Linked DNA regions of Anolis sagrei. Each later gene encodes a partner of the first gene's protein in a complex. Links are inferred from orthologs where the notes say so. Each region holds a gene or a part of one and is shown in the gene's direction. Other genes may lie near its edges.

What was found. The genes of interacting proteins can lie anywhere in the genome.
Region 2: the proteins of WDR20 (region 1) and USP46 are in contact, whole or in part, in a crystal structure (PDB 6JLQ), measured with the Homo sapiens proteins. The link is inferred for Anolis sagrei from reciprocal best matches to the Homo sapiens genes WDR20 and USP46. Residues at the interface, in NP_653175.2 of Homo sapiens: Asn41, Ser42, Gly44, Arg151, Lys259, Tyr261, Phe262, Gly263, Glu282, Asp283, Asp284, Leu285, His301, Lys304, Ser305, Trp306, Gln374, Asp375, Thr376, Leu509, Arg516, Met517, His533, Glu534, Arg535; in NP_073743.2 of Homo sapiens: Asn205, Thr206, Ser207, Thr209, His210, Arg213, Arg273, Val275, Phe276, Pro277, Glu279, Leu280, Arg281, Phe283, Asp293, Met295, Gln338, Glu342, Tyr344, Thr347, Ser348.
Region 3: the proteins of WDR20 (region 1) and WDR48 are in contact, whole or in part, in a crystal structure (PDB 5K1C), measured with the Homo sapiens proteins. The link is inferred for Anolis sagrei from reciprocal best matches to the Homo sapiens genes WDR20 and WDR48. Residues at the interface, in NP_653175.2 of Homo sapiens: Arg20, Ser364, Thr384, Glu385, Asp386, Glu524, Pro525, Leu526; in NP_065890.1 of Homo sapiens: Val191, Lys207, Gly208, Gly240, Gln241, Gln242, Arg243, Cys244, Ile245.

Annotation. Positions count from the first base shown.
Region 1 is NC_090021.1:323,794,643-323,801,769, forward strand, and holds the start of WDR20 (WD repeat-containing protein 20), read left to right. Parts: upstream 1-4,119; 5' UTR 4,120-4,248; coding exon 4,249-4,512; intron 4,513-7,127. UniProt on the Homo sapiens protein: Regulator of deubiquitinating complexes. Activates deubiquitinating activity of complexes containing USP12. Anchors at the base of the ubiquitin-contacting loop of USP12 and remotely modulates the catalytic center of the enzyme.
Region 2 is NC_090025.1:75,293,845-75,301,066, forward strand, and holds the start of USP46 (ubiquitin carboxyl-terminal hydrolase 46), read left to right. Parts: upstream 1-4,208; 5' UTR 4,209-4,688; coding exon 4,689-4,724; exon of another isoform or gene 4,725-4,737; intron 4,738-7,222. UniProt on the Homo sapiens protein: Deubiquitinating enzyme that plays a role in behavior, possibly by regulating GABA action. May act by mediating the deubiquitination of GAD1/GAD67.
Region 3 is NC_090026.1:123,938,473-123,945,649, forward strand, and holds the start of WDR48 (WD repeat-containing protein 48), read left to right. Parts: upstream 1-4,163; 5' UTR 4,164-4,211; coding exon 4,212-4,259; intron 4,260-7,177. UniProt on the Homo sapiens protein: Regulator of deubiquitinating complexes, which acts as a strong activator of USP1, USP12 and USP46. Enhances the USP1-mediated deubiquitination of FANCD2; USP1 being almost inactive by itself.

The DNA of each region.
Region 1 (7,127 bases):
GATTGTTGTTGTTGTTGTGTGCTTTCAAGTCGTTTCAGTCTTGGGTTGACCCTGAGCGAGGGCTGGGTAAATGACCTTGGAGGGCCGTATCCGGCCCTCAGGCCTTAGTTTGAGGACCCCTGGCATATACATTTTAATGGGGGAACCACCAAACAAAGTCCAGAATTATCAGCTATGAAGGCCCCCTGGTAGTGCAGCGGGTTAAACCAATGAACTTCTTGACTAAAAGGTTGGCAGTTCAAATCCGGGGAGCAGGGTGAGCTCCTGTTGTTAGCCCCAGCTTCTGCTAACCTAGCAGTTCAAAAACACACAAATATGAGTAGATCAATAGGTACCACTTCTGCAGGAAGGTAACAGTGCTCCATGCAGACATGCGGGCTACATGACCTTGGAGGCGTCTACGGACAATGCTGGCTCTTCGGCTTAGAAATGGAAATGAGCACCAACCCCCAAAGTTGGACACGACTAGACTTAATGTCAAGGGGAAACCTTTACCTTAACTTATATAACATTATATCAGCCCCTTGTGGCACAGTATGTTAAACCACTAAGCTGCAGGACTTGCTGACCAAAAAGTCAGCAGTTTGAATCCGGGGAGTGAGGTGAGCTCCTGCTGTTAGGCCCAGTTTCTGCCAACCTAGCAGTTTGAAACATGTGAATGTGGGTAGATCAATAGGTACCACTCCAACAGGAAGGTCACCACTATCCATGCGGTCATGCTGGCCACATGACCTTAGCTCATAGCTGCAGTTAGACCGACCACTTGCTCCCTCGATCCGTGTCCCTCTTGGTTGGTGAAATCGTGCTTGGAAGGATTACGCAACCCTCTGTTGAAGATTATAAACAGCTCCCTTGAGCAAGGAGTTTTTCCAGAGGGTTTAAAAGAGGTGGTGGTCTCTCCCCTGCTGAAGAAACCAGACTTAGATTGTTCGGTTTCCTCCAGTTACCGCCCAGTTTCGAATCTCTCGTTCCTGGGCAAGATGATTGAGAGGGCAGCAGCGGAGCAGTTGCAGCAATTCCTAGACGACACAGCCGGACTAGATCCCTTCCAATCTGTCTTCCGTGTGGGGCACGGGACAGAGACTGTGCTGGTCTCCATCACGGATCACCTTCGATGCCAGCTTGACCAGGGCGGGTCAGCGCTGCTTGTGTTATTGGATCTCACAGCAGCATTTGACACAGTCGACCACAATCTCTTGACCCACCGCCTTGCTGTTGCTGGAATCAGGGGGTCAGCTTTAAACTGGCTATCCTCCTTTCTTCACAACTGTGGACAGTGAGTGGAGAGGGGAGGCCTGGAGAGGGGAGGCCTCTATCTTGTGGGGTTCCTCAGGGGGCCATTCTCTCCCCTCTGTTATTTAACATCTATATGCGACCACTTGCTCAGCTGGTTCGAGGTTTGGGGCTTGAGTGTTATCAGTACGCCGATGACACTCAGCTGGTGCTGAAGATGGAAGGCCGACCGGACTCTGTACCCGATTGTTTCCATCAGTGCCTTGAGGCTGTTACCGGATGGCTGCGTGCCAGCAGGTTGAGGGTGAATCCAGCAAAGACGGAGATCCTATGGCTGGGTCGACCGGGCAGTGGGGACATCCAGCTGCCTACCCTGGATGGCGAGGCGTTACGCCCGTCATCATTGGTAAAGAGTCTGAGAGTCCTTTTGGACCCTCTGCTGACGATGGAGGCCCAGGTCTCCGCTGTTAGTAGAACCGCCTTCTTTCATCTGCGACAGGCTAGACGGCTGGCCCCCTACCTGTCCAGGGACGACCTAGCTACGGTGATCCAGGTCACGGTCATCTCAAGACTGGACTACTGTAACGCCCTCTACATTGGCCTTCCTCTGTCGGTGATCCGGAAGCTCAAGTTGGTACAAATGCAGCTGCTCAGCTTCTTGCGGGAATTCCGATGAGATGCCACATAACACCAATCTTACTACAGCTGCATTGGTTACCAATTGAGCACCGGATCACTTTCAAAGTGATGGTACTCACCTTTAAGGCCTTTCATGGTCTGGAGCCGATGTATCTGAGGGACCGCCTCACCCCTACCAACCCCTGAAGTCTGTGCCTTGCGGGATTTACCAGCTTTCCGCAGGGCATGTAAGACATACCTGTTTTGACAGGCTTTTAATGTTTGATATTGCTGTTTTTAAATTGTTTTAAATTGCTTTTAAATTTTGTTAGATTTTAGCCATTCTTGTAAGCCGCTCCGAGCCCCAGGGGAGTGGCGGCATATAAGTTTAAATAATAAATTCCGAGCCCAATTTAAGGTGCAGGTGCTTACCTACAAAGCCCTAAATGGTTTGGGACCACCCTACCTGTGTGACCGCATCTCCATCTACGAACCCACGCGTTCATTACGCTCATCTGGAGAGGCCCTGCTCGTGATCCCGCCTGCATCGCAAGCACATTTGGTGGGAACACGAGACAGGGCCTTTTCCGTGGTGGCCCCCTGTCTCTGGAACACTCTCCCCAAAGATCTTAGACAGGCCCCTACATTGGCAGTCTTCAGAAAGAATTTGAAGACCTGGCTGTTCCGATGTGCCTTTCCTGATTAGGAAATCTTCAATACATAGTCCCAGAAGCACTTTATTAGAATTTAAGACTGCAGCACACTGCACACTGCACTTGCCCTATAATATCACGTCACATCAGCACTTTTTAATCCTGTACCCTCTACTCTGGCCTGGCCCAGTTTTATCTTGTTGATGTATTGTTTATTGCTTGTGGCTTTGTTGTTTTAATACTGCTTTAATTGTTTTTAATTTGCCTAAATTACAGTGAAGACATCTGCCCTTGCACTGTGCTACTCTGCTGCTGAGTATGCATGCCCAGTGTGGAACACATCTCACCATACTAAAACAGTGGACGTGGCTCTTAATGAGACATGCCGCATTATCACGGGGTGTCTGCGCCCTACACCACTGGAGAAATTACACTGCTTAGCCGGTATTGCACCACCTGGCATCCGCCGGGAAGTAGCAGCCAATAGTGAAAGGACCAAGGCAGAGACATCTCCAGCTCATCCCCTGTTTGGGTATCAGCCAGCACGCCAACGACTTAAATCTAGACATAGTTTTCTAAGATCTACAGAGACACTCGCTGGAACACCTCAGTAAGCGAGAGTCCAAAAGTGGCAGGCTCAAACCCAGCACCTCAACCAATGGCTGATACCAAATGAGAGACTCCCTCCTGGGCACACAGAAGACTGGGCGACTTGGAAGGCATTGAACAGACTGCGCTCTGGCACCACGAGATGCAGAGCCAACCTTCAGAAATGGGGCTACAAAGTGGAATCCTCGACGTGCGAGTGTGGAGAAGAGCAAACCACTGACCACCTGCTGCAATCCAACCTGAGCCCTGTCACATGCACAATGGAGGACCTTCTTGCAGCAACACCGGAAGCACTCCAAGTGGCCAGATACTGGTCAAAGGACATTTAATCAATTACCCCAAACTCACAAGATGTGTATTTTTCTGTTTGTTTGCTTTGTTCTGTTAGACTGGTTGTTCTGACACGACAAATAAATAAATTTGCCTAAGTGTATTGTTATGTTGAAGCCTTGGCCTTTGTAAGCCGCATCGAGTCCTTTGGGAGATGCTAGCGGGGTACAAATAAAGTTTAATAATAATAAAAATAATAAATAAATAAATAAATTTGTGTCTACTATTTAAAAACATTATTATGTATACATTCTTTGGTGGGATCAAGAAAGACAGAATTATACATTGTTTTGGTTGTCTTTTGGGGGGGGCTCGCTGTATATTCATATAAATACATACACACAAACGCACTCCTTTCCCCATTCCAGTTCCCGCAACACCTACAATTATTCACAGAGCATTCTGAATTCCACCAATAATAGAATTGGGCCAAACCTCCCACACAGAACCCTCATGTGGGCCACAGCAACGCGTGGCAGGGAACAGCTAGTATTCATATAAATACGTACACACAAACGCACTCCTTTCCCCACTCCAGTTCCCACAACACTACAAGGAAGTGACATCTCCTTCTGCGCATGCGCACTGCTACCCATGGCTTTCAGAGGTCCCCCTCCGGCGCACGCGCAGAGGCGCGGTAAACAGGGGAAGGGCTCTTAGGCCCCGCCCCCTTCCATCCCGGGCGCGAGCGCTCCGTGGGCTTCCCTTCTTCCGCGCTGGGACCGAAGGGGAAAGGCGAGTTCCTCTCCGCCTTTTCGCGCGCCTGCGCACTGGCCCTTACATCCGGGGCCTGGCCACAGGATGAATGCTCCTTTCCAAGATGGCGGCGGAGGGAGGAGGGAAGGAGATGAACGAGATTAAGACCCAGTTTACCACCCGCGAGGGGCTCTACAAGCTGCTCAGCCACTCCGAGTACAGCCGGCCCAACCGAGTGCCCTTCAATTCGCAGGGCTCCAACCCCGTCCGCGTCTCCTTCGTCAACGTCAACGACCAGAGCGGGAACGGCGACCGGCTCTGCTTCAATGTGGGCCGGGAGCTCTACTTCTACATCTACAAGGGGGTCCGCAAGGTAACGCCATGGCTGGAGGGAGGAGGGCGGCCTGAGGCACGGAGAGGGCCCCGAGCCTCTCTCTCCCCATTTATACGCAGTTTCCAAAAACAATTTTGTGCATGAAACAAAGTTTATGCCTTCATGGCCGGAATCACTGGGTTGCTGTGAGTTTTCCGGGCTGTCTGGCCATGTTCCAGAAGTATTCTCTCCTGACATTTCTCCCACTTCTATGGCAGGCATCCTCAGAGGTTGAGGGGTTTGTTGGAAACTAAGCAGGTGGGGTTTATATATCTGTGGAATGTCCAAGGTGAGAGAAAGGACTCTTGTCTGTTTCAGGAAAGCCTGAATGTTGCAGTTGGCTAGCTTGATTAGCATTGAATAGCCTTGCAGCTTCAAAGCCTGGCTGCTTCTTTCTTGGAATCCTTTGTTGGGATGTGTTAGCTGGCCCTGATTGTTTTCTGTCTGGAATTGCCAGTTTTCTGAGTGTTCCCCCTTATTTACTGTCCTGATTCCAGAGGTTTTTTTTTAATACTGGTAGCCAGATTTTCTTCATTTTCATGGTTTCTTCCATTCCGTTGATCTGCCTATGAACCCACCAGGACTTTGAGATCTTCCGGGGAGGCCCTGCTCTCGATCCCGCCTGCTTCTCAAGCTCAGCTGGCGGGGACGAGAGATAGGGCCTTCTCCGTGGTGGCTCCTCGGCTGTGGAACGCCCTTCCTACGGACATTAGACTAGCACCATCTCTAATGGTATTCCGCAAAAAAGTGAAGACCTGGCTGTTTGAGCAGGCGTTCGAATAATTAGTGCAATGATTGGTTAATGAACACTGGAATGGAACAATGGATGACGAATCTGGAACATGTTTTTGATGACGAGATGACAGTGAATGGGTCGTGTAATGTGTAATGTGTTAGGTTGTCAACTGTTTCAATACTGTAGCACTGAATTTTTGCTGTTCGTATTTGTTGTGAACCGCTGTGAGTCGCCTTCGGGCTGAGAACAGCGGTATATAAGCAAGGCAAATAAATAAATAAATAATTGTCCACATGCTTGTGGATTTCAATGGCTTCTCTTCATATTTTATTTATTTATTTAGTACATTTCTATACCGCCCCTCTTAGCATTCCGGGACTCGAGGCAGTTTACAAGGCAAGAATTCAATGCCGCCAAGGACACAATTACAATATACAATATAAAAAACATCATCAACAATAAAATCAAATGTTGTGGTTGTTAGTGGTTCAGCATTTCTGTGTTCTCATACAATATGCTGTGTGCAGGTTGGTCCATCAAGTGGCTGACATCTCTGGTGGAATTAGTCATGTTCCTGGATTCCTGGATTTGTGTTTGGGCAATGCTGAGTTTGGTGGTTTCTATGTAGTCTTGTCCACAGCTGTGTGGTATACAGTACTATAGACCCCTGCTGAAGAGAGAGGATCCCTGTTGTTTATCTTGTTCATCTAGAGATATATAAACCTCACTTGCCTGGTTTCCAACAGACCTCATGACCTCTGAGGATGCCTGCCATAGATGTGGGTGAAACGTCAGGAGAGAATGCTTCTGGAACATGGTCATACAGCCCAGAAACCATAGCGCAACCCAAAGTTTATATCTGTTACACATTAGAAAGCTGAACTATCAGGAAGCAGAGGCTGATTGTAACAGACCATGGTACATGGTACAGGTTGAGCACACCTTATCTGAAATGCTTGGGACTGGAAGGATTTTGGATTTTGAGGGTCCCCCTAACCAGATTTCAGTAAATCTGTATATTGTGAGATACCCTGGGGGGGGGGGGGGGGTCAATGCTTAATTACAAAATTCAGGCAGACTTTTCAAGATGAAGGTTTTTAAGATCAATTCAGGAGGTGTTGTGGTTTTAGCTTTTAATATGCATCAAATAGATTTGGGTGGTTTAATCTGTTTATATTCAATTCTGGTTTAATATTTGTATATTTTAAATGCTGTGCTAATGTTTTTATGTTAAGCCGCTTTGAGTCCCCTTCTGGAGGCATAAAGCGGGGTATTAAAGAAATATAATAATAATAATAATACACAGAGCCCGAAGGCTATTTTATATATGATTTTAATTTTAAAATCTAAAATAATGTGCCTGAAACGAAGATTTTGGAATACTTGTACATATGCATATGTGTATTGTACTTACACATATATAGTAAGATAACTTGGAGATGGCGTCAAAATATAAACACAGAATTCATTTATGCTTCATATATCTGAAGGTAATTTTGTATATGGCTTTTGTGCTTGAAACCAAGTTTTTGTATGTCGAACCATCAGAAAGGAGAGGTTGGCTATTGCAACAGTCTCAGGCTGATTATCCGTTATCAGAAATTCTTGGGAGCAGAAGTGCTTTGAGTTTTTCCTTTTGAATTTTTGGTGTATCTGTTTTTACATACATGTATATAATGTCATTTCTTGGAGATGGGGTTCAGGTCTTAAGACTAAAACAGTGTGGTTCACAGTGATGTCTGCATGTGAGTGAACTGCAGATTCCATCGTCCCAGGGCCATTCCCTCTGAATACCGCCAGTGCTTAAAGTTGGTCATGGGGGGTATGTGTGCCAATTTTCATCCAGATCTGTTGTTGGAGGGAGTCCCGTGGCTTTTGG
Region 2 (7,222 bases), on another chromosome or scaffold:
AGTTTCAGAAAAACATCTATTTTTGCTTCATTGACTATTCTAAAGCCTTTGACTGTGTGGATCATAATAAACTGTGGCAAGTTCTTGGTGGGATGGGCATCCCAAGCCACCTTGTCTCTCTCCTGAGGAATCTGTACAAGGACCAAGTAGCAACAGTCAGAACTGACCACGGAACAACAGACTGGTTCAAGATTGGGAAAGGCGTACGGCAAGGCTGCATCCTCTCACCCAACCTTTTTAACTTGTATGCAGAACTCATCATGCGATGTGCGGGGCTTGATGAATGCAAAGCCGGGGTGAAAATTGCTGGAAGAAACATTAACAACCTCAGATATGCAGATGACACCACTCTGATGGCCGAAAGCGAGGAGGAGCTGAGGAGCCTTCTAATCAAGGTGAAAGAAGAAACCGCAAAAGCTGGGTTGCAGCTAAACATTAAAAAAAAAAAACCAAGATTATGGCAACAAGAATGATTGACAACTGGGAAATAGAGGGAGAAAACGTGGAGGCCGTGACAGACTTTGTATTTCTAGACGCTTACTTCTTGGGAGGAGAGCAATGTCCAGTCTCGATAAAATAGTAAAGAGTAGAGACATCAGACTGGCAACAAAGATCTGCCTAGTCAAAGCCATGGTATTCCCTGTAGTAACCTACGGATGTGAGAGCTAGACCTTAGGGAAGGCTGAGCGAAGGAAGATAGATGCTTTTGAGCTGTGGTGTTGGAGGAAAGTTCTGAGAGTGCCTTGGACTGCGAGAAGATCCAACCAGTCCATCCTCCAGGAAATAAAGCCCGACTGCTCATTGGAGGGAAGGATACTAGAGACAAAGTTGAAGTAATTTGGCCACATCATGAGGAGACAGCAAGGCCTAGAGAAGACAATTATGCTGGGGAAAGTGGAAGGCAAAAGGAAGAGGGGCCGACCAAGGACAAGATGGATGGATGGCATCCTCAAAGTGACTGGACTGACCTTGAAGGAGCTGGGGGTGGTGACGGCCGACAGGGAGCTCTGGCGTGGACTGGTCCATGAGGTCACGAAGAGTCGGAGACGACTGAACAAATGAACAACAACAAGATCCATGTCTAAATGGACCTTGGGCAAGATTGTTTCTGTTGGCTCCCTCTTGAAGGTCAGAAGATTTTTTTGAGGTTATATGACAGCAGCAATAGTCAAACTTCGAAGGTGATGAGAATTACAAATGTAATTTTCCACAATGCTCTGGAAAGTCTGACTTTGTTGTGATGCCATGCCTAGCCCTCCCCCATGTCAATAAAATAGATCTGTGAAGAGCTCACAATGCTTTGGAAGCCGGTGTCTTGGAAGTTGGATATCAATTGATAATGGGTTAGTGGCATGGGTAATAGGCAATGTCCTCTTCTGAAAGAAGAATGGGGGAAAAAAGAATTGCAGATTTGTAGTCTTATTACATACACTCATTTGGAAGTTCTTTTTCACAATAATTCACAATGAGGGTGTTGTGTGGTTTCAGGACTGTATGGCCGTTTTCCAGCAGCATTTTCTTCTGATGTTTTGTGTTCTGCACTGAAGATGCCAGCCACAGATGCAAGTGAAATATCAGGAGAAAATGCTTCTAGAACACGATCATACAGCCCAGAAACTTCTTATACGAAAGCTGAATGGAACAACCTGAGGATCACAACCAGATACAGTGAAGACATCTGCTCTTGCGCTATGCTACTCTGCTGCTGAGTATGCATGCCCAGTGCAGAACACATCTCACCACACTAAAACAGTGGATGTGGCTCTTAATGAGACATGCTGCATTATCACAGGGTATCTGCGCCTTCCACCACTGGAGAAATTACACTGTTTAGCTGGTATTGCACCACCTGACATCCGCCGGAAAGTGGCAGCCAATAGTGAAAGGACCAAAGGCAGTGACATCTCCAGCTTGTTTGGGCATCAGCCAGCATGTCAATGACTTAAATCAAGAAATAGTTTTCTAAGATCTACAGAGACATTCGCTGGAACACCTCAGCAAGCGAGAGTCCAAAAGTGGCAGGCTCAAACCCAGAACCTCAACCAGTGGCTGATACCAAATGAGAGACTCCCCCCTGGGCACACAGAAGACTGGGCAACTTGGAAGGCGCTGAACAGACTGCGCTCTGGCACCACAAGATGCAGAACTAATCTTAAGAAATGGGGCTACAAAGTGGAATCCACGACATACGAGTGTGGAGAGAAGCAAACCACTGACCACCTGCTGCAATGCAACCTGAGCCCTGCCACATGCACGATGAAGGACCTTCTTGCGGCAACCCCAGAGGCACTCCAAGTGGCCAGATACTGGTCAAAGGACATTTAACCAACTACCAAATTCGCAAAATCTGTGTGGTTTTTTTTCTTTTTCTTTTTAATCTCAGTGTTTTGTTCTGCTCTGTTAGAATTGTAATACAATGGTTGCTGATGACACGATAAATAATAAATAGTTCACCTACAATCACAGAGCATTCTGAACCCCACCAACTATGGAATTGAACCAAACTTGGCACAACAGAAAATACTGGAAGGCTTTGGTGGGCAGTGCCCTTTGGTTTTGGAGTTGTAGTTCACCTACATCCAGAGAGCACTTTGGACTCAAACAGTGATGGATCTGGACCAAACTTGGCACGAATACTCAATATCCCCAAATGTGAACATTAGTGAAATTTGGGGAAAATAGACCTTGACCTTTGGGAGTTGTAGTTACTGGGATTTATAGTTCACCTATAATCAAAGAGTATTCTGAACTCCACTAACAATAGAACTGGGCACACAGAACCCCCATGACCAACAGAAAATACTGTGTTTTCTGATGGTCTTTGGCGACTCCTCTGATGCCCCCTCACGACCCCCCCAGGGGTCCTGACCCCCAGGTTGAGAAATGCTGCTCTATGTACACATAATAAAATACATAACAAAAGCCAATAATTATATATAGTTAAAACATTAAGTCAATATAATTAAAAACTGCTAACAATACCAGTCTAGTGGCCATTATCTAGCTGAATTCTGTGGTTGGAGACTCCATCAAACTTATCCATAGTCCATTATCATAGTCATTGTCATCATTGCCATTGTCCGCATAGTTACTCAAATGCCTGGTCCCACATCCATGTTTTTAATTTCTTTCTAAAGGAGAGGAGGGATGAAGATAACCTAATTTCCCTGGGGAGTGAATTCCACAGGTGGGGGCCACCACCAAGAAGGCCCTGTTCCTTGTCCCCACCAAGCCCGTTTGAGACAGAGGTGGGGCCGAGAGCAGGGCCTCCCCAGAAGATCTTAAGCTCCAAGATGAGACATAGAAAGAGCTACGTTTGGACAGGTACACTGGGCTGGAACCGTATAGGGTTTTATAGGTCAAAACCAGCACTTTGAATTGTGCTCGGAACTGGATCGGCAGCAAGTTCAAAGCAGATATTGTGGGATTTTCTGTCTTGATATTCTGGGATATAGTGCTGTGTGGAAGGGCCCCTACAATTAAATAGTCATAACTGCCATGTATTCATGATCTTGATGTAGTGCCTTTTGGGGACCTTGAAAGTCTCCCAAATCCCACTTACTGGTAGGCAGCTGTTGGTATCAATATGGAGCTCTCCCCCTGTTGATCAGCCATCCCTCAGATGGGAGGGGAATTCACCTACGTAACTGGTGGACTTTGGGGAAAATAGAATCTTGACATTTGGGAATTGTAGTTGCTGGGATTTATAGTTCACCTGCAATCAAAGAGCATTCTGAACCTCACCAACGATAGAATTGGGCCAAACATCCCACACAGAACTCCCATGTGGGCCACAGCAAAGCGTGGCAGGGGACGGCTAGTAAACTATAAATATTGTGAAATTATGGTTTGTTTCTCATAGTGACACCCCACCTGAGTTATACTCAGTTTTTGGGCGAATTTTAACACACCAAGCTCAAAAGGTTGCCCATCACTGGCCTAAGACAATTTGGGGTCTCCTGCAACAGGGCAAACGTTGTCAACAGACAGCAGGCATCAAGTGGCAAGGCCTCATTAGATGTAATTGTAGAAGAAGCCTTAATTATTATTTTTTCTGGAGGAACTCAAGCCAAACCCAGGCCAAGGTCCCTTTCCCCCTAAAACTCTTCTCCTCTTGGGTGCCCCAGTGGGTGGGACCATCCCCTTTGGCCTTCCGCGCCTCCCCATTGGCTGCCTCCCTCCAATTGGGCCAAGCGGTTGGTTGCCGGCCACGCCACTCGCGGGGATTGACCTTCCCTTGTTTTCAATGCCGCTGTCAAAGTTGATCACTGGGGCGCTGCTCGGCGATGGAGAGAAGGGAAGAGGAGGAGGAGGAAGAGGAAGGAGAAGAAGAGGAAGCGGGAGAGGGGGATTAGTAGTAGTCCAGTCCTAGCCAGGACACAGCGGATCCCTGTAGATCTAGGCGATCGGTTCAGCAAATAAGGAGAGGGCTAGGGAGGCGGCGCAGTGGAGAGAGAGGAAGGAGCAGCCGGCAAAGGCAGAGAAGGAAGGGCTGGAGGCTTGGCTCATCCCTCTCTCTCTCTCTCTTCCCGCCGTCTGATCCTCGGATCCCCAAGCTAGAGCTTTCCTCCTGCCCCTGTCTCTCTTTCCTCCTCCTCTTCCTCCCCCCCCCCCTTCCCCCAACCATGACCGTTTCGGGTTTCACCTCATAAAGATGGCGGTGGGGGATCGCTGCAACCTTTAGACTCATGACTGTCAGAAACATCGCCTCCATTTGTAATATGGTGAGTACTGGAGGGCAAGGGCTCTGCTATGATTCTTTTTGGGAGGAGGAGGGGGATCGGATTTTGCACAAAAAGCAGGAGGTGGGGCTCCTTCTTGCCAGATTTCCAGCACCGCCCTTTTCCTGAGAGTAAGGGGCCGCCCAACCCTGAGGAGTCCTCCTTGCACAAGGCAAAACCCCGCCTTTTCCAGGAATGGCCCCTCATAGGTGGGATCTGCACTCCAAACCGCCCAGAGTTATGTCTCTAAGGGTGCATCTGCATTGTTGAATTGATGCACTTTGGCACCACTTTTCACTGCCTTGGCTCAATGCTGTGGGATCTTGAGAAATGTAGTTTGACAAGGGCCCCTTTCCACATCTGTATAAAACTCCACATTATCTGCTTTGAAGTGGATTATATGCCAGTGTCGACTACAATAACTCAGTTCAAAGCAGATATTCAAAGCAGGTTTGGAAGTGATCCTGGACTCATCGCTGAGCCTGGAACCCCAGGTCGTGGCGGTGGCCGGGAGAGCTTTCGCACAATTAAAACTTGTGCGCCAGCTGCGCCCGTACCTTGGGAAGTCGGATCTGGCCACGGTGGTCCACGCTCTTGTTACATCCCGGTTAGATTACTGCAATGCACTCTACGTGGGGTTGCCTTTGAAGACTGTTCAGAAACTTCAATTAGTCCAGTGGGAGGCAACCAGACTGCTCACCGGAGCGTCATACAAGGAGCATACCACCCCCTGTTATGTCAGCTCCACTGGCTGCCAATCCAATTCCGAGCACAATTCAAAGTGCTGGTTTTGACCTACAAAACCCTATATGGTTCCGGCCCAGTGTATCTGTCCGAACGGCTCTCCTTCTACGTCCCACCTCGGAATCTAAGATCTTCTGGGGAGGCCTTGCTCTCGACCCTACCTCTATCACAAGTGAGATTGGCGGGGACGAGAAGCAGGGCCTTCTTGGTGGTGGCCCCTCACCTGTGGAATTCACTCCCGGGGGAAATTAGATCGGCAACATCCCTTCTTTCCTTCAGAAAAAAACTGACAACAGGGATTTGGGATCAGGCATTTGGACAACCTGGCAGATGAAAAAGGACGTGGCGATAGACTGGAATTGACAAATAGAATGGAATTATGGAACTCTGAAAGACGCACGCTGAGCTTGTGATTAGTTTTTAGTGATTGTGTTATATATTGATTGTTTAATTGTGATAAATGTTGATTGCTGTTTTTATATGTACATGTACTCTATGTAGGCATCGAATTGTGCCTTTTTTGTAAGCCGCCCTGAGTCCCCCCCTTGGGGTTTGAGAAGGGCGGGGTAAAAGTAACTGAAATAAATAAATAAATAAATAATAAACTTTATTTATATACCGCTTTATCTCCCCAAGGGGACTCAGAGCAGTTCCCAGGTAACATCACAAAACATACAGAGTAAAAACAACATAACCATAAGATTATCAAACAAAATATAAGCATAAAAATTGTCACCATAACACACATATATTAAAAGTAATCTTCGATGTTCAAGGCAATTAAAAATTTAAAAGGCCGGGCCAAGATTTGTGCAAGCCCAAAAATTCTTGCCCGGGAATTAAGTGCAATGCTATGGCAGGCAAAAATAATATTAGGTATGGGTCTGTGGCTGTTCATTCTGGGGCCCGAACCAGAAGGAGATGCGATCGCAGAGATAGGCAGGGCCCGAACTGTTTAGGGCTTTATAGGTCATGACCTGCACCTTGAGTTTGGCTCAGCAACTTATCGACAGCCAATGAAGCTGTTTTAAGAGGGGTGTTGTATGCTCCCTATAGTTTGCTCCAGTAAGGAGCCTGGCAGCCACCCGCTGTACCAGTTCAAACTTCCGGGCCGTCTTCAAGGGCAACCCCACATAGAGCGCATTGCAATAGTCCAGTTTGGATGTAACCAAGGCGTGGACCACCTTGGCCAAATCATAGCCTTGAGCTGTAGTGGCTAAAGTGGGCCCTATATTCCACAATATAGGGCCCTTCCACACAGCCCTATATCCCAGAATATCAAGGCAGAAAATTCCACAACATCTGCTTTGAACTGGGTTATCGGAGTCAGATGATGTGGGATTTCCTGCTTTGATATTCTGGGATATAGGGCTGTGTGGAAGGGCCCACAGATGCATGCTCTCTGTGTGTATTGGAAAAGGTGCAGAAAGGCAGCATCAAGCAAACAGGGATGATACTTGAAGTGTGTGAGGCATATAATCCAGATTATCAAACTAGATAAGCCTCATTATATGCTTTGAACTGGATTATATGAGTCAACACTGCCATATAATCCAGTTCAAAGCAGTCAATCTGGATTTTATATGGCAGTGTAGAAGGATTATCAATGCAGACAACAACAGCAACAACAATAAACTTTATTTATATACTGCTCTATCTCCCCGAGGAGGGCTCAGGGTGGTTTCCAAGTAAGATCACCAAAACATACAGAGTAAACAGCATGACATAAAATTAACAAAACAAATTAGCATAAAATT
Region 3 (7,177 bases), on another chromosome or scaffold:
GAAGTCTGGCCCAAGTCTGTTGTTCGTAGTGTTCAGAATGCTCGGATTGTAGGTGAACTATAAATCCCAGTAACTACAACTCCCAAATGTCAACGTCTATTTTCCCCAAACTCCATGTTCATATTTGAGCATATGGAATATTTGTGCCAAGTTTGTTCCAGATCCATAATAGTTTGAGTCCACAGTGTTCTCTGGATGTAGATGAACTACAACTCCCAAACTCAAGGTCAATGCCCACCAAACCCTTCTAGTGTTTTCTGTTGGTCATGGGAGTCTTGTATGCCAAGTTTGGTTCAATTCCATTATTGGTGGAGTTCAGAATGCTCTTTGATTGTAGGTGAACTATAAATCCCAGCAACTACAACTCCCAAAAGATAAAATAAATTTTTTTGAGTAATGGTCACTTCTTGGGTTAGTAGGTGTCTTGTGGCCAAATTTGGTGGCAATTCATCCAGTGGTTTTTGAGTTCTGTTAATCCCACAAACAAACATTACATTTTTATTTATATAGACTAGCCACCCCCTGTCAGGCATTGCTGTGGCCCAGTCTGGTGAGGAAGAACTTCCTGACTGTGAGAGCCGTTCAGCAGTGGAACTCTCTGCCCCGGAGTGTGGTGGAGGCTCCTTCTTTGGAGGCTTTAAAGCAGAGGCTGGATGGCCATCTGTCAGGGGTGATTTGAATGCAATATTCCTGCTTCTTGAAAGGGGGTTGGACTGGATGGCCCATGAGGTCTCTTCCAACTCTTTGATTCTATGATTCTATGATTCTTTCTGCTTGTTGGCAAACAGTATTTCTTGCTGTTTCTCTGTCAGTGTTTATGTGGAGATTGTCTGGTTTGCCTACTCTGGGACATGCAACATATAATTGTCCTTCTTTAGGGGTCCCTTTCAAATCTATGTTATTGTTTCTCTGTGTGTGAATCATATATATCTATCTCTATCTATGGCTGGATGGCTCTTTGTCGGGAGGGCTTTGACTACGTTTTCATGCCCTGGTGAAGGGAGTTGGACTGAATGACTTTAAGTATTTTCTGTTGGTCATGGGGGTTCTGTGTGGGAAGTTTGCCCCAATTCCACCATTGGTGGGGTTCAGAATGCTCTTTGATTGTAGGTGAACTATAAATCCCAGTAACTACAACTCCCAAATGTTGACGTCTATTTTCCTCAAACTCCATGTTCATATTTGGGCATATGGAATATTTGTGCCAAGTTTGTTCCAGATCCATCATTGTTTGAGTCCACAGTGTTCTCTGGATGTAGATGAACTAATAATAATAATAATAATAATAATAACAACAACAACACTTTATTTGTGCCTCGCTACCATCTCTCCAAGGGACTCGGTGCGGCTTACATGAGGCCGAGCCCAAATACAATACACGCAATAATGACAACAATACAAGCAATTAAAATAAAAAAAACATGGACAATAAGATATGCAACATTAACAATAAGACAGCACACAATTAAAAATGTGGGAAGGCCAAATGTAGAATTAAAATTGAAAATAATGCTGGGGTTACAACTCCCAAACTCAAAGTCAATGCCCACCAAACCCTTCTAATGTTTTCTGTTGGTCATGGGAGTCTTGTATGCCAAGTTTGGTTCAATTCCATTATTGGTGGAGTTCAGAATGCTCTTTGATTGTAGGTGAACTATAAATCCCAGTAACTACAACTCCCAAATGTTGACGTCTATTTTCCTCAAACTCCATGTTCATATTTGGGCATATGGAATATTTGTGCCAAGTTTGTTCCAGATCCATCATTGTTTGAGTCCACAGTGTTCTCTGGATGTAGATGAACTAATAATAATAATAATAATAATAACAACAACAACACTTTATTTGTGCCTCGCTACCATCTCTCCAAGGGACTCGGTGCGGCTTACATGAGGCCGAGCCCAAATACAATACACGCAATAATGACAACAATACAAGCAATTAAAATAAAAAAAACATGGACAATAAGATATGCAACATTAACAATAAGACAGCACACAATTAAAAATGTGGGAAGGCCAAATGTAGAATTAAAATTGAAAATAATGCTGGGGTTACAACTCCCAAACTCAAGGTCAATGCCCACCAAACCCTTCTAATGTTTTCTGTTGGTCATGGGAGTCTTGTATGCCAAGTTTGGTTCAATTCCATTATTGGTGGAGTTCAGAATGCTCTTTGATTGTAGGTGAACTATAAATCCCAGTAACTACAACCCCCAAATGTCAAGGTCTATTTCTTCCAAACTCCCATCTGTGTTCATATTTAGGCATATGGAATATTTGTGCCAAGTTTGGTCCAGATCCATCGTTGTTTGAGTCCACAGTGCTCTCTGGGTGTAGGTGATCTACAACTCCAAAACCAAAGGACACTACCCACCAAACCCTTCCAGTCTTTTCTGTTGGTCATGGGAGCCCTGTGTGCTAAGTTTGGTTGAATTCCATCATTGGTGGGGTTCAGAATGCTCTTTGATTGTAGGTGAACTATAAATCCTAGTAACTACAACTCCCAAATGTCAACGTCTATTTCCCCAAACTCCACCAGTGTTCACATTTGGGCCTATTGAGTATTCTTGTAGAGTTTGGTCCAGATCCATCGTTGGTGGGATTCAGAATGCTCTTTGATTGTAGGTGAACTATAAATCCCAACAACTACAACTCCCAAATGACAAAATCAGATTTTTTTTTTTTTAGTGAAGGACATACATTGGGTTGTTAGGTGACTTATGTCCAAACTTGGTGTCAATTCGTCCAGTGGTTTTTGAGTTCTGTTAATCCCACAAACAAACATTACATTGTATTGTCGAAGGCTTTCATGGCCGGAATCACCGGGTTGTTGTAGGTTTTTTCGGGCTGTATGGCCATGTTCTAGAGGCATTCTCTCCTGACGTTTCGCCTGCATCTATGGCAAGCCTCCTCAGAGGTAGTGAGGTCTGTTGGAATTTGGAAAATGGGTTTATATATCTGTGGAATGACCAGGGTGGGACAAAGGGCTCTTCTCTGCTCGAGCTAGGTGTGAATGTTTCAACTGACCACCTTCATTAGCATTTGAAGACCTGGCTGAGCCTGGGAGAATCTTTTGTGGAGAGGTATTAAGATGTGCCCGAGCTAGGTGTGAATGTTTCAACTGACCACCTTCATTAGCATTTGAAGGCCTGGCTGAGCCTGAGGGAATCTTTTGTGGAGAGGTATTAAGATGTGCCCGAGCTAGGTGTGAATGTTTCAAGTGACCACCTTCATTAGCATTTGAAGGCCTGGCTGAGCCTGGGGGAATCTTTTGTGGAGAGGTATTAAGATGTGCCCGAGCTAGGTGTGAATGTTTCAAGTGACCACCTTCATTAGCATTTGAAGGCCTGGCTGAGCCTGGGGGAATCTTTTGTGGAGAGGTATTAAGATGTGCCTGAGCTAGGTGTGAATGTTTCAACTGACCACCTTCATTAGCATTTGAAGGCCAGGCTGAGCCTGGGGGAATCTTTTGTTGAGAGGTATTAAGATGTGCCCGAGCTAGGTGTGAATGTATCAAGTGATCACCTTCATTAGCATTTGAAGGCCTGGCTGAGCCTGGGGGAATCTTTTGTGGAGAGGTATTAAGATGTGCCCGAGCTAGGTGTGAATGTTTCAACTGACCACCTTCATTAGCATTTGAAGGCCAGGCTGAGCCTGGGGGAATCTTTTGTGGAGAGGTATTAAGATGTGCCCGAGCTAGGTGTGAATGTTTCAACTGACCACCTTCATTAGCATTTGAAGGCCTGGCTGAGCCTGGGGGAATCTTTTGTGGAGAGGTATTAAGATGTTTTTGCTGTTTTTATTTACATTACATTTTTATGTATATAGATAGCTAGATTGAAGTTATTATTGAGCTTTCTGTCATTAACATTTCCCATTGACTAGAGCTGTTGTGATACAGCAACCTTTGGCAGACTACTTGCTCTGTTGAGTCAGGAAACTCAACTGCCACTAGTCAAGTCTCGCGAGAGACAGAGAGAGAGAAACGGGAAAAAGCAAAACCCCGCGCCCGCTCGTAATAACGGCTGCCATAGCAACCCCTCAGGAGCCACGCCCCTTTCTTCCCGCCTGCTTGTTTGAGGAACAGAGGGGAAGCCCTTGACAGGCAGAGCCAGACCAAGCGGGGGCGGGACTTCCGGGCCGGCGGACGCCTCTCCTCCTCCCCCCTCCCCCCCACCCGGAAATGACGACGGAGTGTCAACATGCAAGATGGCGGCTCATCACAGGCAGAACACGGCCGGGCGGCGGAAAGTACAGGTGAGGGAGGCGAAAGGAAGGGCCGGCGAGGGCGGAGGGGGGGAGGCGAGGGTTAGGAGGGTCGAGGCCCGGCTCCTGGACCCTGAGGAGGAAGGAGAAGGGGGAAGAGGGCCAAGGTGCGGGGAGGAGGAGGAGAGGAGGGAGGCGGCTTGGCGGGAAGACCCAGGGGCCTCCGTTGTCCGTGGCAACGGGAGAACTTCCCTCAGCATCCTGCCTCTCTCCCTCGCTCCTCTTCCTCCTTCTCCTCCTCCTTTCAACCTTAATCTATATAAATACAAATGTAATGCTGGTTTGTAGGATTAACAGAACTCAGAAACCACTGGGGGAATTGACACCAAATTTGGACAGTACAGCCCTAACAAACAGTACAATTTGGACAGTACAGCCCTAAATGAAGGGCAATGAGTGTTCATCACCCCAAAAATTACAAAAACCAACAAAACTCCTAGCAGAACTGACTTAAAAAACCCAAAAATATACCATATATGTGTGTGTGTGTGTATCCATATCCATATTTTATTTATTTACTTTATTTGTATACCGCTCTTCTCAGCCCTTAAGCCACTCAGAGCGGTTTACAACAGTTTAGATATACAGAATACAAAATCATTATGCATTTAAAAACAATTACTAGTATTATATTGCATTACATTACAATATTATAAATATTATATGTATATACAATATATTATATTATAACATATTATTAGAATAGCACAGGAGACAAGGTGGAACTGTCCCCTGGCCCCTCTTTCTTCGCTCTGGCCCAGAGCGGCAGTTGGTGCTGGGGGGGAGGGGTCCCCAACGGGTCCCCCACACACATATATATACACACACATACACGAGGACAAGCCCGTCAAATACAAATACAACAATACATCAACAAACAAGCAAGCAAATAAAACAATATAAATAATACAGTTAAACATATAAGCAATAGCACACAAAAGATTTTAAAGCATTATTACAAACCCAGATGTAGATTAAAATTTCAAAACCCTGGGTGTGAACAGAGTAGGGTATGTCTACGCATGGGAGGGTTTTAAAGAGTGATATGGGGGGATCAATCCAGATAGATAAAGTGCTTATATCCATATATATATATATATACACACACATACATACATATACACACACACATATATATATACACACACACGCACACACACTCATGTACACATGCACACACAAATATACACATGCACACATATATAAACACAAATATGCATATAGACAATCACACATATACACAATATACATATCTACATATAAACACACAAATATATATGCACATATACACATCTTCACATACACATATGCACACACATATATACACCCACATATATATATATATATATATATATATATATTATATACACGCAAACACATATATACACACACACACACACAAAACACTTATATACAGACTGGGCCACAGCAACGTGTGGCAGGGGACAGCTGATAATAATGATAATGATAATAATAATAATAATACTTTATTTATACCTTGCCACCATCTCCCCGAAGGGACTCAGGGCGGCTTACATGAGGACAAGCCCATCAAATACAAATACAACAATACATCAACAAACAAACAAGCAAATAAAACAATATAAATAATGCAGTTAAACATATAAGCAATAGCACACAAAAGATTTAAAAGCATTATTGCAAGGCCAGATGTAGATTAAAATTTTAAAATCCTGGGTGTGTACAGAGTAGGGTATGTCTAGGCATGGGGGGTTTTAAAGAGTGATATGGGGGGATCAATCCAACGGATAGATAAAGTGCTTCAGAGGACATATGGAAGGAAATTGGTCAGATCAAGCATTATTTCCTTCATTCAGGGAAGGCACACTGGAACAGCCACGTTTTCAATCTCCTCCTAAAGACTGCCAAGGTGGGAGCTTGTCTGATAACTTTAGGTAGAGAGTTCCAGAGTCGGGAGGCCACCATAGTGAAAGCCCTCTCCCTCGTCCCCACCAATTGCACCTGCATGGCAGAGGACAACTAGTAATAATAATAATAATAATAATAATAATAATAATAATAATAATATTTATTTATACTCCGCCACCATCTCCCCGAAGGGACTCAGGGCGGCTTACATGAGGACAAGCCCGTCAAATACAAATACAATAATACATCAATAAACAAGCAAGCAAATAAAACAATATAAATAATACAGTTAAACATATAAGCAATAGCACACAAAAGATTTAAAAGCATTATTGCAAGACCAGATGTAGATTAAAATTTTAAAACCCTGGATGTGTACAGAGTAGGGTATGTCTAGGCATGGGGGGTTTTAAAGAGTGATATGGGAGGAATCAATCCAACAGATAGATAAAGTGCTTCAGAGGACATATGGAAGGAAATTGGTCAGATCGGGCATTATTTTCTTCATTCAGAGAAGGCACACTGGAACAGCCATGTTTTCAATCTCCTCCTAAAGACTGCCAAGGTGGGAGCTTGTCTGATATCTTTAGGTAGAGAATTCCAGAGTCGGGGGGCCACCATAGAGAAGGCCCTCTCCCTCGTCTCCACCAATCAGGCCTGCGAAGAGGGTGGGAGCGAGAGCAGGGCCTCCGCAGATGAACAAAGAGATCGCGTGGGTACATAAACAGAAATGTGGTCGCATAGGTAGACGGGTCCCAAATCGTTCAAGGCTTTGTCGGTAAGAACCTGCACCTTGAATTGGGACCGGAAATGAAGGGCAGCCAATGGAGCTCCTTAAACAGGGGTTAACCACTCTCTGTAAGTCACTCCAGTTAGGAGCCTGACTGCAGCCTGTTAAACCAATTAAAATTTCCGAGCCGTCTTCAAGGGCAGCACCACGTAGAGTTCATTGCAGTAATCCAGTCTGGAGGTGACTAAGGCATGGACCACCATGATCAGATCTGACTTCACGAGCTGGT